2 linked regions of the Lepisosteus oculatus genome follow. The protein of the gene in region 1 purifies or fractionates together with the protein of each later gene. This does not show direct contact. Links are inferred from orthologs where the notes say so. Each region holds a gene or a part of one and is shown on either strand. Other genes may lie near its edges.

Region 1 (7,956 bases):
TCCGCCGCCCCCTCCCTGCGCCGCTGCCGCGCCTCCTCGGCCGCCAGCTCGGACAGGTAGTGCCGGACGTTCTGCCGCGCGGCGTGCACCAGCGCGCCGTCGATGTCCAGGCCGGTGACGCGGGCCGGCTGCCAGTTCTTGGCGAGGGTCAGCGTCAGGTGGCCCGTGTTGCAGCCCAGGTCCAGCACGGCCTTGCCCCGGAACCACTCGGGCCGCAGCACCCTGACGCGCGGGTCCTCGCTCCAGCCAGGGTTGCGGTAGCCGTAGTACTTGTTGTAGTTTCCGTACTGGAACTTGCGCTGCTGCTGCTGCTGCTGCTGCTGGCGGCGCCGCCGGTGCGTCCCGGCGCCCCCGCGGGCGCACGAGGCCGAGGCGGCGCTGCCCGGCGCCCCCATCCCGCCGGCGCCCCCGCCCACGGGGGTCTGGAAGGTTTGGGCTTGCTGCCGGGCCGCCCGCCCCTTCTCCGGGGTGACCTTGCGGCCGCCCGCGGCGGGGCCCGGCCCGGCGGCGGCCGAGGAGGAGTCGGACTTGCTGGACGTGCGCCGGCGCTTGCGGTGCCTCGCCGGGCAGGAGGGCGGCGCCGCCGAGCCCGGGGGGGCCGAGGCGCAGGAGGAGGGGTCGGCCGCGCTGGGCGGCAGGATGGGCTGCACCACCTCGTCGCGGCAGTTGATGGAGGTGTTGAGCTCGTAGGGCCGCGGGGACTCCGGCACGGGCGTGAGGCCGGCCCCGGGCGCGGCGCCCTCGGCGGGGGCCTGCGGGACCGCGCTCCCGGGCACGGAGGAGGACAGCGCCGCCCCGGCGCCCCGGCCCTCGCGCAGGGCGCCCGCCCGGCCCGGCTCGGCGGGGTCCGGCTGCGTGGAGACGCCCCCCCCGCCGCCGCCGCCGCCGCCGCCTCCGCCGTGGTGCCGGTGCCGGTGCCGCTTGCGGCCCCCGCCGCCCGTCTTCATGGGCGACACCAGCAGGCCGGTCTCTCCGCCGGCGCAGTTCAGGTTGAGCGGGTCGGTGATGTCCTTGGGGATCAGGATCTCCACCGGGTCGCGGCTCTTGGCGGGCAGCGGGGAGGACTTGGGCGTCTCGGCGTTCAGCGCGCGGTTCACCTCCTCGTCCAGCAGGCTGTTGAGGTTCAGGGGGTCGAAGATGTTGCCCCCCAGGAGGAAGTTGGTGGGCAGCACGGGGTCGCTCTCCGAGTTGGCGCGCCGCCGCCTCTTGCTGAAGCCGGGGTGCTTGAACCCCACGTTCACGCTGTTCCTGCGCTTGAAGGCCTTCTGCTGCTGCTGCTGCTGCTGCTGCTGCTGCTGGAGCCCGTTCTTGGGCCTGGCGGCGCCGCAATCCCGGCCCGGCTGCTCCGCCGGCTCCGTGCCCGCTTGGGCGGCGGCGCCCCCCTGCGGGCGGGGGGCGCTGCTGCGGTCGCCGGCGCACTCCCCCTCCGGCTGCGCGCGGCGCTGGGGCTGGTCCTGGGGCCCGCTGGCGCCCAGCCCGGCCGGCTCCTTGTCCACCGACATCTCGATCATCTCCTGCTGGGCCCCGGGGCGACGCCGGCGGCACTGCGCATGGACCTGCGGAGCAGACACAGGGGGGCGAGAGTCAGCGCGGCACGGCGGCGGGGAGCACCGCGTCTCCCACCCCTCCCATCCCGCTCACCTCATAGGCCGCCCGACGATCGCTCTAGCCCCTCTCACCTCTACAACAACTCCCCCCCCAGCCTCCTCTGGCCTTGAGAGCACCAGCACACTTTCCCCGACAAAGACGTGTTTCACAGAAACCAGGCAGCCAAGCAGCCCGTCCCTGCAGAAAACAGAATTCCTTCAGCGGCTGACAAACGTCTTTCTTTTGTTTTTTTAGTCCTCGGCACTAGGAGCTGCTTGGCTTTGCGAATGAGCTGCCGAGTCTCTTGTCCATGTGCTTTGTGGTAGCAGCAAAGCAGGAAAAAAAAAACGTTGTCTATTCGTCCGGCAGCGTCAGCCCACCCTCTCCCGTGCGTGCCCCTGCGTGCTCCCGCCCCCTCCCGGCAGCGAGGAAGAGATTTGCATAGCCACGCCCCCGCGTCGCCAAACGTCCCCCCGCGCTCATGAATAATTCATGAGACATAGGAGCTCTATGGAGGCAAGAAAAAAAGCGCACACATACACACACACACGGAGACACAGATACACACATACACGCAGCCTGGTCGCCGTATTCTCCGCCTTCCCGTTTGCTGAAGCTGCACCCCCAACTTTCCCTCCCCCGAGTTTTTTTAGTAAGTCAATCGGAAAAATTAAATCCACCCAACAACTGACTTGGCGAGAGACATTTTTTTTTCTGGATCGTGCCCGCAAGTTTTGTTTTTTCTTAAATATATATTTATACATTAAAAGTACCACACGAAATCAAAAAGTATGAAATCTGCAAGACCCACCCCCTCCAAGAAATCAGTTTTCGTCTGAACTGAATTATTTAAAAAACAAAAAAACAATTTTTTTGTTTGAACTCGCAGTCAGTGTGTGTGTGAGTGTCAGTGAGCTCTCTCTCGCTGGACCCCCCTCTCGCGGCTCTAATCAGCGAGACTAGCTCGAGCTGCTGGATCTCGCGCTGCGTTTTGGCGTCTCCTCGAGCTTTATATGTCTCTCGTGTAGCCCAGGAAAAAAAGACCGGCAGCCACGCCAGCCAATCAGAGGAGGAAATACCTCCCCGCCTTTCTTCGTCTGACCAATAGGAAGGAACGGGGGGAGAGGCGTAACGACTAACCTCGTCTCTTCCTCCCCCCTTTTCCCTGTAGGTCTCTAGTACAGTGCCTGACAAAAATACATTTCCCACAAGGGCTGGACGCTATTTTTATAAACCAACGCCCTAATATGCGAAAAACAAATGAAAATAATTTCACTGCGTCTCGGCTGACTTTCAGCGTTGGCCTGTTTTTTTTTAATTACAACCGACAGCACTTTTTCTCCCTGTTCAGACAGGAAACCGCCGCGGCCACCCCAACCCGTGTAAACAACCTGGTGTTTCACTGCCGCCGGAACGAATCTCGCTCTTTCTCCGGCACAGCCGCACCCACACAAAGGACGATAAAATGCTCGCACGCTGAATAGTGTGATGTGTCTTCGAGAAAGAAAGTCGTAGCGGTTAAAACGCGGTCCCCGCCCCCTCCCCCTTCCACCGCTTCCCCTCCCCCCCAGCACTCGGCGCTTGCCTGCGACAGCACGTGAGGCAGGTCCTCGAGCCTTCCGTGGAGGATTCTGGGACATGTAGTTTTCCCAGTCGCGACAGTCCACTCCAGACGGTTTCGCGACTGGAGAGCTTCTTCCTAAACGCGCACAGTGAAGCGCAAGGCGTGTTATAAACGCACCTCTTTCCACTGACGTCTTCTTAAGCACGTCAGTCTTTTACCCTCTGATGACCGTCTTCGAGTTACAAAGCTCACCACAGCGAATTCACCGTGAAGAACTAACGTTGTTCAGTGACCCCGTGGTTCACGCAGCGGCATCTACACGACTAGATGCTTGCAAAATCCAGCCGCCCCCCCCCCCTTCGTTCGATACAACGTTATTCACTCCTCCACTTCATTTTATTACAATAAAGCCACCCGCAGTGGAGCGTTTTAGAACTGTCCCCTGCGCACAGGTGCCGGCTGAGTGACAGAGGTCAGTCCTCTCTCGTGTGATGTTCCCACCCGCGGGCCCGGGCTGGACCGACTTCACGCCTCCAGGCCCCCGTGTCGCCCGAACGGCGCACACGTTCCCACGAAGCGTTAACCAGGAGTAAGCGCCCCTCGCACCACCCAGGCAACGTACACAATAAATCGAGTGGCCTGTGGTCTGTCGCAGTTTCGGCCTCCCTTGTCCATTAATCCCGGTTCGGCGGAGATTTTTAACCAGGTGCGGCACATAACCCCCTTCCACAGCCCCGCGAACACCAGCAGTGAGTTACTGTGATGTGTTGCTGCTACTGACCTCCGTTTCCATCGCGTTCCTTGAACACACAGGCGCCCGGAGTGCACAAATCCTGTCGCAACACGCGAAGCACAGGAGTCGGGAAACCAGCGAACCGGTTGTCAGCCAGTGCTGGATAAAATCCGAGGAGGCAGAACAGGTAAATAAGAATAGGCCAGTTGGCAGCATCCATAAAGATAACTGGTAAGAATGTGTCCACAAACACCACTCGTTGAGGTAAATTCATTACAGATTAACGTGGTTTAGTCGTCGTTCTGGCGCTCTTCTGACGTCATGATACATCGTTAACAGCTGGAACAGCATTTCTTGTATATTTTCTCCCGCTTTGTGATATTCTTTCTTTACAACGATAACAGAGTACAGTAATAACCCTCAGACGTCAGGCCTACGTGCAAAGAAATAACATTGAAATAAATGCTAGTATTTCCATGTAAACGTGCCACTCGCCTGCTATTTCAACTACACTGACTCCGTTGGCGAGGGCAAGTGAACGAGTAACCGTAGTGCTGAGGAGCCGAGGACTGTGGCATTTTTTTGATCCCTTGCATACATGATATAACCGCTCTTTTGTAGAGTGTTTTTACACAATGTATTATTCCGTATTGTGTTAGATCTTAGATCTGGCTCGAGACCGCCCTCGGCCCAGCGTGCTCGGAGGGCGGCAAGGCGCGCGAGACCTACCCCGTTGCCCGCGCCAGTCCTCGCCTCGCTGCCCCTAAAAAACGGCTCTAAAACTTGTGACGAATTTTGTTCAGCTTTGTGTTCTCCATCTCCGAGTTTTACTTGTTAAGACAGAAACCTGGCGGTTTTGTGGAGAATGGACGAAGGAAAAGGTAAAAAAAGGAGCGTTTTTTCTCTTTTAATCTTGTTCCAGCCTGGGTAGGCAAGGCCCGGTCCAGCTGTGGGATTTCCGTCACGGTACCCGCGACCGGTGTTACTTGGGACCAATGACTTTTTTATGAATTTATTCTACATTTGCTTGTGTTCTGTTCACATTTTCCCGAGTTTTTATTTTAAAGATGTGATACCCCTCTTTGAACGGATAACATGTTACTTTCAGTCGCTTTTCCCAACCAATGTACAAACCTTATCGCCATTGGTTCTTTAGTTTTCTTTTAAAATGTAAAGAAATGGATGAGATCGCAAGTAAATGAATACACTTCATAAATCCGAAGTCATTGTTTTCAGTAAAAGAAACAACAGTTTCTATCCACCGTACAGAAAATGTGATTCGATTACATTTGACTGCAATTTAACATACAGATCGTCAATCTGTCTTCGATGTGAATTACATAGACAATTGGGGCTTTAATTATTTAAATCTTTCCTTTTTCGGGTGTCTGGTCTGGAAGGAAATTGACAGTACGTTTTAACAATGTTTATATGAGACCCACCACCAAATATTGTACATTGAGGTTTAATAATATTGGAAACCTGGTTGAGAACCTTTCAAAAACCAAATTATTACAAATCTCAAGTGACTCCCTAAAGTAAATGTGGGTAAATTATGTAAAACACATACATAATTCAAAGACCTGCACGTGTCTGAGACCAAGGTTGTGTATGTGAGACTGCAAGCGTGAATGTGTTACTTAAGAGTGTGTGAGTCCTTGAGAGTCTGTCTGTGGGTGTGTGTGAGTCTTGATAGTGTGTCTGGGTTGTGTGTGAGTCATGAGAGTATGTCTGGGGTGTGTGTGTGAATCTTGAGAGTGTATTTGGGTGTGGGTGAGTCCTGAGAGTGTGTCTTGATGAACTCACCTACTGTGTTTTCTCAAATAAGGCGACAGTGGTGCAGTGGTTAGCGCTGAAGCCCAGTAGCACTGGGGCCCAGGCTGCTATCTGTGTGGAGTTTGCGTGTTCTCCCTGTGTTTGCGTGGGTTTCCTCCCACAGTCCAAAGCCATGCTGGCAGGTTCATTGACTTCTGGGAACACTGGCGCTGGTGTGAGTGTCTGTGTGTGTACCCTTTGCACAAAGGGTGGTGGGAGTGTGGATCAAGCTGTCCAGATGTGTTGCTAAAGCCGATATCCAGGGCCCTTTCATGAAACAGCTGGACAAGATCTTGGCATCGATTGGCTACCAACTAGCAAACCTGGCACATGTGCCAACAGGCCTGCTCTCGCCTGCCACCTTCCTCCTGTGCTTCAAGAGTGATTCCTGAAATCTGACAGCGAGTCCTCCGGCAGCTTGTCCAGCCGGCGTTCTTGGATTTAAGCACGACAGCGTTTCAGATGTGTGTGTCCCTAGTTTATGTCCCATCAGTATGTCTTTGTGTTGTGCAGAGAAGCTGAAGATGAAGAAGCCAAAGTTCGCTCCCCCAGTCGCCCTGGGTGGGCCGGGCGACGGACAGGGGAAAGGGCCGCAGGAGGAGAGGGGAGCAGGAGTGAGGGAGAGGGAAAAGGCGGCGGGGTCGAGAGGAAGGCCATGTCGGAAGGCCGGCGAGGAGAGCCCGGGACGGGGAATCGGAGCAGGGAGAAGCGCAGGAGAGGAATCCACGGAGGTGTTGGGAAAGGGGCCGATTCCTCGGACGGGGAAGAGCAGGTCAGCGGCTGCGGGCGGCAAGAGGCCCGAGGAGCGGAGCCTGAGGGTGCCGGGGCTGGAGGGCCAGGCAAGGGAGCTCCTGGGGCCTGGGAGGACAGGGGGGGAGAGAAGGAGGAAGGGGAAGGCTGTAGGCCCCGGTGGAGGTTCGGGAAGGGGAGAGGGGTGGGAGGAGAAGACCCTCCGGGGGGAAGAGGAGGAGGGCACTGCGCGGCCAGGCCCAGCTGGGATAAAGGAGAGCCTGGCAGGCTGCACGGGTGGAAAGGGCTGGGCGGGATTGCAGCCCGGAGGCAAGAGAGCGGGAGCCGCAGAGCCGAGCGGGAGGAAGAAGGACAGAGTGGGCGGCCAGCGCGGAGACAGGCCACTGCCCGGAGGGACGGGCTCTGTCCTGAAAGAGGGAGCAAAGGAGGGAGACCGGCCCAAAAGCGACAAGAAGAAACCAAAGATGAAAACTGGGGAGTCAGACCAGGAGCCTGAGGAGAAACCTAGAGGCCTACCTGTCTGGAGGACAACAGGGGAAGAGAGGGCAGGGACCCCAAAAAACAGCAAGGTAACAGAGGGGTGAGAGAAGAGTGTGGGTTAGAGAGGGGGTGAGAGAGGAGTGTGGGTTAGAGAGGGGGTGAAGGAGGGTGGGTGAGAGAGGAGTGTGGGTTAGAGACGGGGTGAGAGGGGAGTGTGGGGGTGAGAGAGGAGTGTGGGTTAGAGAGGGGGTGAGGGAGGGTGGGGTGAGAGAGGAGTGTGGGTTAGAGACGGGGTGAGAGAGGAGTGTGGGGGTGAGAGAAGAGTGTGGGTTAGAGAGGGGGTGAGAGGAGTGTGGGTTAGAGAGGGGGTGAGAGAGGAGTGTGGGGGTGAGAGAAGAGTGTGGGTTAGAGAGGGGGTGAGAGAGGAGTGTGGGTTAGAGAGGGGGTGAGGGAGGGTGGGGTGAGAGAGGAGTGTGGGTTAGAGACGGGGTGAGAGAGGAGTGTGGGTTAGAGAGCGGGTGAGAGAGGAGTGTGGGTTAGAGAGGGGGTGAGAGAGGAGTGTGGGGGTGAGAGAGGAGTGTGGGTTAGAGACGGGGTGAGAGAGGAGTGTGGGGGTGAGAGAAGAGTGTGGGTTAGAGAGGGGGTGAGAGAGGAGTGTGGGTTAGAGAGGGGGTGAAGGAGGGTGGGTGAGAGAGGAGTGTGGGTTAGAGACGGGGTGAGAGAGGAGTGTGGGGGTGAGAGAAGAGTGTGGGTTAGAGAGGGGGTGAGAGAGGAGTGTGGGTTAGAGAGGGGGTGAGAGAGGAGTGTGGGGGTGAGAGAAGAGTGTGGGTTAGAGAGGGGGTGAGAGAGGAGTGTGGGTTAGAGAGGGGGTGAAGGAGGAGTGTGGGGGTGAGAGAAGAGTGTGGGTTAGAGAGGGGGTGAGAGAGGAGTGTGGGTTAGAGAGGGGGTGAAGGAGGAGTGTGGGGGTGAGAGAAGAGTGTGGGTTAGAGAGGGGGTGAGAGAGGAGTGTGGGGGTGAGAGAAGAGTG
Region 2 (7,717 bases), on another chromosome or scaffold:
CCGCCTCCGGGGCGCCCGGCCCCGCCCCTCCCCTGGAACACCCCGCTGGCCCCTCCCCCGGGCCCCGCTCAGACCCCGCCCCCTCGGGGCCAAGCTCCGCCCCCCATCCAGCTGCACCCTGGGTGAAATACAAACAGCGGATTCAGGCGTGCGCAGGCTGCAGAGGAACAGGTAAAGGTTGATTTCTGTATCTATTTCAATACTCCGTCTCCTTTTTTGTATTTCTGGTGTTTAAATAAAAACATTTAAAAAGAAGTAAAGGTTGATTCCCTGCTGAAAAGAGAAGAAAGGAGACAACGTTTTGGCTGTCGAGCCCGTGTTCACACCCCAAGAAGGCTCCACTGCTGAAACGTTGCGTTTCCTTTCTTCTCTTTTCAGCATGGGTTTAAAGTTCTGTGCCAAAACACATTTCATCTCTCCTCTGCTCAGGTGCTGCAGTTCCCCCCACTGTGCAAAGATATATCAACTGGGTTAACTGGCATCTCCCAGCTGCCCAGCCGGACTGAGCCCCGAGTCTGTCTCCCGCTGGAGGAGCAGAGGAGGGGAATTCCTGCACTGCAGGCGGGTCGGGAGTCGCACGGGACTGTCCCACAGCAAGTATCCCACGGGCCGACGGTGCGAGTCTCGGCTCACGAGCGACTTTCACCTGTACCCTCCCCCTCAGTCCTGCCGTTAACCGCCCCGACTCCTGCTCCCTCGTCTGCCCGCAGTCCTTTACCTCTTCGGCCATGAACACCCCCTCGCCGCGCCCGCTGGACTCGCCGGCTGTGGAGCAGAGCAGCACAAGAGCTCGCCGCCGGAGCGCTCCCCCAGGCGAGTCTGCCAGTGAGAGGCTGCTTCCGCCCTCACCGCGGCGCGACCCGGAAGTCCTTGACGCCACCAGGAAGTTGGGCAAAGAAGGAGGGAGCCCCCCACCCCCGGGTCACGTGGCGGTAAGGGTTTATTTACATCCTGAACAACACTGGAATTACGAGTTATTTTTTCCCCAATGAGGGGTGATTTAACCACTTGGCAGTTTCCATGTACTGTTTCTGCGCCGGAATTGTGATTAATCGCGTAAGGAGGCTGAAGGGCTTGTGTCCGAAATGTGTCTGGGAGGGTTCACGGTATTCAAATGATTCTTTCACCAAGCGAATATCCATTCGCAGCAGCATGTCCCTATTTATGAATATGTATTTTTCCTTTCTATCCCTACTTCTGAAATCCCCTCCAAAAAAAAACAACTGCTGTATATTTCTTACTGTCAATTAATGTTTCTATACCACTTGCGCCCATCTCGAAACCGCCTGCGTCTTTATTTCATCTTGATGTGTGAACGTGTGCGTCCCAGCCGCCCTGCCTTGTTCTTCACACCACAGTCTTCCTCCCGCACTTCCCAGCCCGGTTCTTTCACGCTCTCTCTAGTCTGTGGGACTCAACACCGCTGCTCTCCGCACCCCCCACGCAGAAGGCTCGGCCTCGCCCCCGTGCACGTCGGCAGCGCGCATGACGTCAGCCGCGGCTCGGGATCCGCCCCGGCGTTTCCAGAACCGTCTCCGGGTTCCCCTCGCCAGCCGAGCCGGGCCGGGCACGCCATGGCGCCGCAGCGCCGGCTCCTCCTGGCGCACGGCGCCGCCTACGCCCTGTCCGTGCTGGGCGGCCTCCTGACGGTGGTGCCGCTGGCGCTGAACGGCTCGCACTTCAAGGGCCGGTGCCTGCTCTTCAGCCGGGGCCACTGGCGGCCGGAGGGCGGCCTCGGGGCGCCCCGGCTGCAGGTGCTGGAGTGGGGGCCGCCGGCCGCCTGCCAGCTGCCCGCCTTCGTGGGGGTGTTCACGGTGCTGTTCGGGGCCGTGCAGAGCTGGCGGAGCATCTTCTACCTGCACCGCGGGCACGACGAGTAAGTGGGGGCGGCGGGGTGCCCCGAGCTGCGCGCGGCTGCGGTACCTACAGAATGTTCATCCGCGAGCACTGGAGGCGCAGAGAGGAGGTTTAACTGCCGGGGGTCCAGCGCTGATTCTCTCTCTCTCTCTCTCCAGCACGCCGCTGTGCTCGGCTCTGACGCTGCTGCTCAGTGCCAGCCTGCTCCTTCTGTCTCTGGGCTCCAGCGTCACGCTCAGCCTGGGCTTCCAGTCCTGGTGCGACACCGTCACCGGCCAGCAGGCGGCGCCCTTCAGGTACACAGCTTCGATGCTCGGGTGCAGCGACACTGATCTGAGACACACACACCGATTCTCTGAGACACTCAGCGTGGGCACTGGGGTCAGAGAAGGGTTGGGGTGACCCAGAGACCGATCCCAGCGCACCGGTCTGGGTTAAAGTTTCACCTTTAACCTTTCACCTCCTGGGACGAGGCAGCTCCCAGTTTAGTTCGGACCCTGAGCAGCACTGCACAGGCCCACCGGACAGCACCAGGTCTTGGTCCGGTCCACCCCGATCCACCCACAGTCTTCCGAAATGTTTCAGCCTGTTTCTCACTCTGACCTCCTGCTGACCTCTCTCTCCCTCTCCAGCTGTGCAGAGGCCCAGGCCACCCCCCTGTACCTGGACGTGGACACAACAGCCTTCTACAGCGAGCTCACCTGGGCACAGGTAACACTGGACACCTGTACCGTCCTGTCAGTGTGTGTGTATGAACCCCTCTCTCTCTCAGTGCAGTGTTCATGTACTGGAGTGTCCAGTCAGTGTGTCTGTATGAACCCCTCTCTCTCTCAGTGCAGTGTTCATGTACTGGAGTGTCCAGTCAGTGTGTCTGTATTAACCCCTCTCTCTCTTAGTGCAGTGTTAATGTACTGGAGTGTCCAGTCAGTGTGTCTGTATTAACCCCTCTCTCTCTTAGTGCAGTGTTAATGTACTGGAGTGTCCAGTCAGTGTCTGTATGAACCCCTCTCTCTCTGTCCCAGGCTGGCCTGTGGGGAGTGTCCGTGCTGTGGCTGGCCCTCTCTGTGCTGTCTTTCCTGAGGCTGTATTGCTCCCACAGGAGGGAGGTACTAGGGCCCTGCCTGGCCAGGGAGAAGGAGCTCCTGCTGGGACTTGGCTGTGACCCTCAACCTATGACCTCTCACCCCTGCACACATGAACACCCCGCTGGGCACTTTATCTGACCTCCACACATACGCACATAAACTGCACTGACCCCACTGGACACCTCAGGACAGTGTGGCCCCCAGCACTGACCCCACTGGACACCTCAGGGCAGGCACTCATGTACTTCTGACACAGAAATCATGCAGTTGTAGTAGAGCCACACACACACACACACACACACAGGGTGACCGCACTCGTACCCGCGCAGGAAACACACATGGCCGCTGGGACAGCACCCCCCGGAGGGTGGAGCTCGCCTGCCGCGGTCCGGATGACAGAGTCTGTGGCGACGCCAGCGCCGGGAGAAGTTCTCCTCGCCTCCTCAAGGGGGCGCCGGCAGGCTCGCAGCTCTCCGCCAGGGCCGCACCCGGAGGAGTCGGAGCGACGTCCGATCGGAAGGACGGAGCACGAGGGGGTCCAGTCCCTGTCTGGGGGGACCCCCCTGCTCTGAAGAGCGCCGCCTGAGGACACCCCCTTCCTCCAGGGTGCCCGGGGCTGACTGGGCTGCTGTGACCCCAGATTCCAGAGCGAGGACCCCAGGGGTGAGCAGTGACCCCTCCGGGGTGGGGCGCTGTGTTCCTGCACAGAGTGTTATTTTTCCAGGACCTGCGCGTCTGGCTGGAAGCGTGGTGGTGGTGGTTGTTGTTGGTGTTTTTTTTTAAAACAAAATTAATAAAGCTGAATTTTAACTTTGATTTTGCTTGTCCATCTTCTGACGCCGTCAGCTTGTCCCACACCCCCACCCCCCACTGTGTACAGACGTGCCAGGGGCTCGTACCTGGAGCCCAGTGCCCCTGGGGGAGGGATACAGATCGTTGGCTTCTGGGACGTCCCACGCGGGCTGGGTGAAGAGACCTTGGGGTCCCCTGTGTTTCTGCCTGGGGGGCGCCCCAACACTCGCTGCTCAACAGCACAGACAGCGGGAGAGATTCGGGGTGTCTAAACACCAGAGGACCTTGGGGTGTCGCTGGAGAGATCCCTGCCAGTCCGACCCCTGCTGCCTCACTGCCTGCATGGCCTTGGGGTCACTGCTCTGGCCAGGGGGTCACTCCGCTGGGCACGGGGTCACTGCTCTGGCCAGGGGTCACTCCGCTGGGCATGGGGTCACTGCTCTGAGCCTCTCCAGTAGGGATGCTGGGGACCCCATAATGAAAAGAGTCACTTGGGGTGGCTGGTATGCTTTTAATACTGCAATTCGCAGTATTTGCAGCGTACTTGTAAGATAATAAAATGATAAATTTGTTTATGTTGATGAAGCTAACAGTTGTTTTCCTGCTTCGTTTTGATCAAGTGGCCATTTTGACAGACGTCACTTCCCTAGTTTCTCGACTGAAACCTTCTCAGTGTCCAATGGGTTTCTTTTTATTCCTAATCAGAAGCTTTCCGCTTACAGCCAATAGAAAAAAAGCCCAGGCCTAACCCCTTCGTGTTGCTAGGTAAAAATGCGGGCCAGTGTACCACACTCGATTTTAAAAGGAGGGTTTAAAAATCAACCGTCCAATCCAAAAAAGCGACATAACGGTGCATCGAGTGCCCAATCGGCTGCGAGAGTTGAAGCCAGTGGGCGGGGTGACGGTCTCCTCTACCAATCAGAAAATTTATGTTCCCATGCGTCGTTGCTAGGTAAAACTCACGTAGGCTGGCCAGTCCCCGTTTCTTCCTTTCGTCAGGTGACGCTGTATTTACAAACTGTAACGGGATCTGATAGCGGGCAATATATTTTTTAAAAATTAGGGGGAGACGGGATAATTTTTTTTTTTAACCAGAAAAAGGGAGGACAGACACTGAAGTGGAAATGAGCGCGCTGGACGTGAAGAAGCTGAAAGTGGCCGAGTTACGGACCGAGCTGCAGCAGCGCGGCCTGGACACTCGAGGGCTGAAGGCCGACCTGGTGGAGCGGCTGCTGGCCGCCATCGAGGCCGAGACGGCGGGGGCGGCGCCAGGAGAGGCCGGGGATGTCGGGCCTACGGAGGTGGACGCCGGGGAGCCCCAGGAGGCCCCAGGAGGGGAGACCGAGGCGGTTGAATTGACGGCGGGGGACCAGCAGAGTATCGCTGGGGTGGAGGAGGAGGAGGAAGAAGAGGAGGAGGAGGAGGAAGTCGCCCAGGCGACGGAGGCAGAGTCGGCGAGGCCGGAGCCTCTGGAGGCCCTCGGCCCGAGCGATGCCGGGCCCCAGCCGCCCGAGCAGGCACCCAGAGAGGCAGAGACGCCCGTCGAAGCTGCTCCCCCGACGGTGGACGTACAGCCGGACCCGAAGCCGCTCTCCGAAGCAGAAGAGGCTGTCAGCCCGGCCCAGGCGTCGCCTGCCCCTTCCCCGCAGAGGCCCGCGGCCCAGGAGCCCCAGCCGATCGAGGCGCCGGGGGAGCAGACAGCCAGGCCTGGAGACGCACGGCCACAGCAGCCCGAAGGCCCATCCGCGGAACAGGACACCCAGGCCTCCCCGCCGGGCGCCGAGCCGGGGGCTGGAGTAACCGGCTCGCCGGTGAGGAACGCCCAGTCGCCGGCCAGAGCCAAGGAGACGCCGGCCGCGAGCAGCGAGGCGGCCGCCGCCACACCAGCCCCGGCCTCCACGGGCAGCGCAGCGCAGGGGGACGGGGTGAACGGGCAGCCTCAGGGCCGGCCGGGGGCCGCCGAGGGAGGCAGCGAGGAGTCCGGCTCGGAGATGGAGGCGGACGGGGAGCCGACCGGCGAGGGGACGGGTGAGGAGCCGCCGTGGAGCTGCGTGTGCAGCCTGACAGGGCCGGAGGGGGGCTGGCGGAGCCCGGGTGTGCAGCAGTCTGATCCGCTCCGGGTCTGCGGGCCCCGTGTCGGGTCTCTGCCGCGCTGACTTGTCTCCCTCTCCCGGCAGGGGCGGCGGCCGAGGGCGAGCGCCGGGGGGTGAAGCGGCCGCACGGCGAGAGGGGCCGGGGCTACTACGAGTTCAAGGAGGAGATCAACTACAACAGGTAGGTCGCGGGGCCGGGGGACTAAGGGGCCCGGGGGGCGCAGAGACACGCGTGTTCCTGACTGTGTCTGTGTCCGCGCTGCAGGGCCAAGTCTCCAGACCCGGAGCCGGAGCTGGGTGAGGAAGAGGAGGTGGACGAAGGACAAGTGCGCCTGGATTCCTGTGAGTCAGCTGGCCGTCCTCTGACACGCACACTGTGACTCGGGGTCACGCTCTCCTGGGGGCTCTGTGACTCGGGGTCACTGTGCCTCGGGGGCTCTCTTGGGGGTCACTGTACCTCTGGGGCTCTCTTGGGGGTCACTGTGACTCAGGGTCATGCTCTCCTGGGGGTCACTGTGCCTCTGGAGCTCTCCTGGGGGTCACTGTGACTCAGGGTCATGCTCTCCTGGGGGTCACTGTGCCTCTGGAGCTCTCCTGGGGGTCACTGTGACTCAGGGTCATGCTCTCCCGGGGGTCACTCTACCTCGGGGGCTCTCCTGGGGGCGTGTGTGTGTTGTGTAACGGCAGCCCCCCCTGTCTCTCTCCCCCAGACAACAGCGACCTGCACTTCGAGGTGGGGAAGGGCGCGCTGGGCGGGCAGCCCCTCTTCTCCGAGCGGTTCCCCTTCCTGTGGTCGGGCTGCAGGGTCACCCACGGCGTCGCGCAGGGGCAGGTCGGGTTCGAGGCCAAGGTGGGTGCGCTCGTCCGTCCTGCGCTGAGAGAGAGGCGCACGCACTCACACACGCACACACACTGACGCGCGCTGTCCGCCCGTCCTGCAGTTCGTCAGGAAGCTGTCGGACAAGGAGCTGCAGCCCGACGACCCGGAGGTGCCGGTGCTGAGAGTCGGCTGGTCGGTGGACGGGTCCAGCTTCCAGCTGGGTGAGTATCTGCCCCCGAGCGCGTCCCTGCTAACTGCCCCCCTTCTGCTAACTGCCCCGGCCCACGCGTGACCTCTCCCCTGCTCCCCGCCCCCCGCAGGAGAGGACGACCTGTCCTACGGGTATGACGGACGGGGCAAGAAGGTGACGGGGGGCCAGGCGGAAGACTTCGGGGAGCCCTTTGCGGAGAACGACGTGATCGGCTGCTTCGCGGTGAGTCGGGGGGGCCGTCCCCGGGAGGGGTGTCTCGCCGCCCGCCCCGGGTGCCGAGCTGACCCGCGGCCCTCTCTCCCCAGAGCTTCTCGGACGAGGAGGTGGAGCTGTCCTTCCAGAAGAACGGCTGCCCGCTGGGCGTGGCGTTCCGCGTGGGCCGCGGGCCCCTGGCCGGCCGCGCGCTCTTCCCCCACGTGCTCTGCCGCAACTGCGCCGTGGCGCTGCACCTGGGCCAGGAGGAGGCGCCCTGGCACCCCGGCCCCGCCGGCTTCGCCCTGCTGCACTCCCTGCCCCCCGAGCAGCGCGTGCGCGCGCCCGTGGCGCCCCGGACCAAGGAGGAGTGCGAGGTGGGTGGGCGTCCGCGCCGTCGGCCGCAGAGCGCGACCCTCGCGAGACCCGTCCCCCTGGCGACGAACGGGGGTCGTGACCCTCTGTGGCTGAGCTCAGGGGAGGCACAGAAGGCGAAGGTCGTGGGAGGGTTTTGTGGGCCCGAACCTCTAAAGTTCGGGGTTCACAGTGACCCCTGACCGCTGTGTGTGTGTGTGTGTCTTGCCAGGTTATTCTGATGGTGGGCATGCCTGGTGCCGGGAAGACCCACTGGGCCCGGAACCACATGGCCCAGAACCCAGAGAAGCGC

What was found. The genes of interacting proteins can lie anywhere in the genome.
Region 2: the proteins of mepcea (region 1) and heterogeneous nuclear ribonucleoprotein U-like protein 2 purify together in Homo sapiens (affinity purification with mass spectrometry; 3 studies listed by BioGRID and IntAct, with this or other methods). This does not show direct contact. The link is inferred for Lepisosteus oculatus from reciprocal best matches to the Homo sapiens genes MEPCE and HNRNPUL2.

Annotation. Positions count from the first base shown.
Region 1 is NC_090698.1:10,420,780-10,428,735, reverse strand, and holds the start of mepcea (7SK snRNA methylphosphate capping enzyme), read right to left. Parts: upstream 3,063-7,956; 5' UTR 2,979-3,062; intron 2,950-2,978; exon of another isoform or gene 2,399-2,949; intron 1,786-2,398; exon of another isoform or gene 1,642-1,785; intron 1,557-1,641; coding exon of another isoform or gene 1,512-1,556; coding exon 1-1,511. Other genes in the region: zinc finger CW-type PWWP domain protein 1-like, read left to right, coding at 6,194-7,018. UniProt on the Homo sapiens protein: S-adenosyl-L-methionine-dependent methyltransferase that adds a methylphosphate cap at the 5'-end of 7SK snRNA (7SK RNA), leading to stabilize it.
Region 2 is NC_090713.1:23,278,239-23,285,955, reverse strand, and holds the start of heterogeneous nuclear ribonucleoprotein U-like protein 2, read left to right. Parts: upstream 1-4,695; 5' UTR 4,696-4,858; coding exon 4,859-5,762; intron 5,763-5,911; coding exon 5,912-6,008; intron 6,009-6,092; coding exon 6,093-6,169; intron 6,170-6,537; coding exon 6,538-6,677; intron 6,678-6,768; coding exon 6,769-6,868; intron 6,869-6,967; coding exon 6,968-7,080; intron 7,081-7,163; coding exon 7,164-7,427; intron 7,428-7,636; coding exon 7,637-7,717. Other genes in the region: ttc9c (tetratricopeptide repeat protein 9C), read right to left, coding at 1-118, 719-730; transmembrane protein 179, read left to right, coding at 1,575-1,876, 2,016-2,153, 2,490-2,568, 2,880-3,080.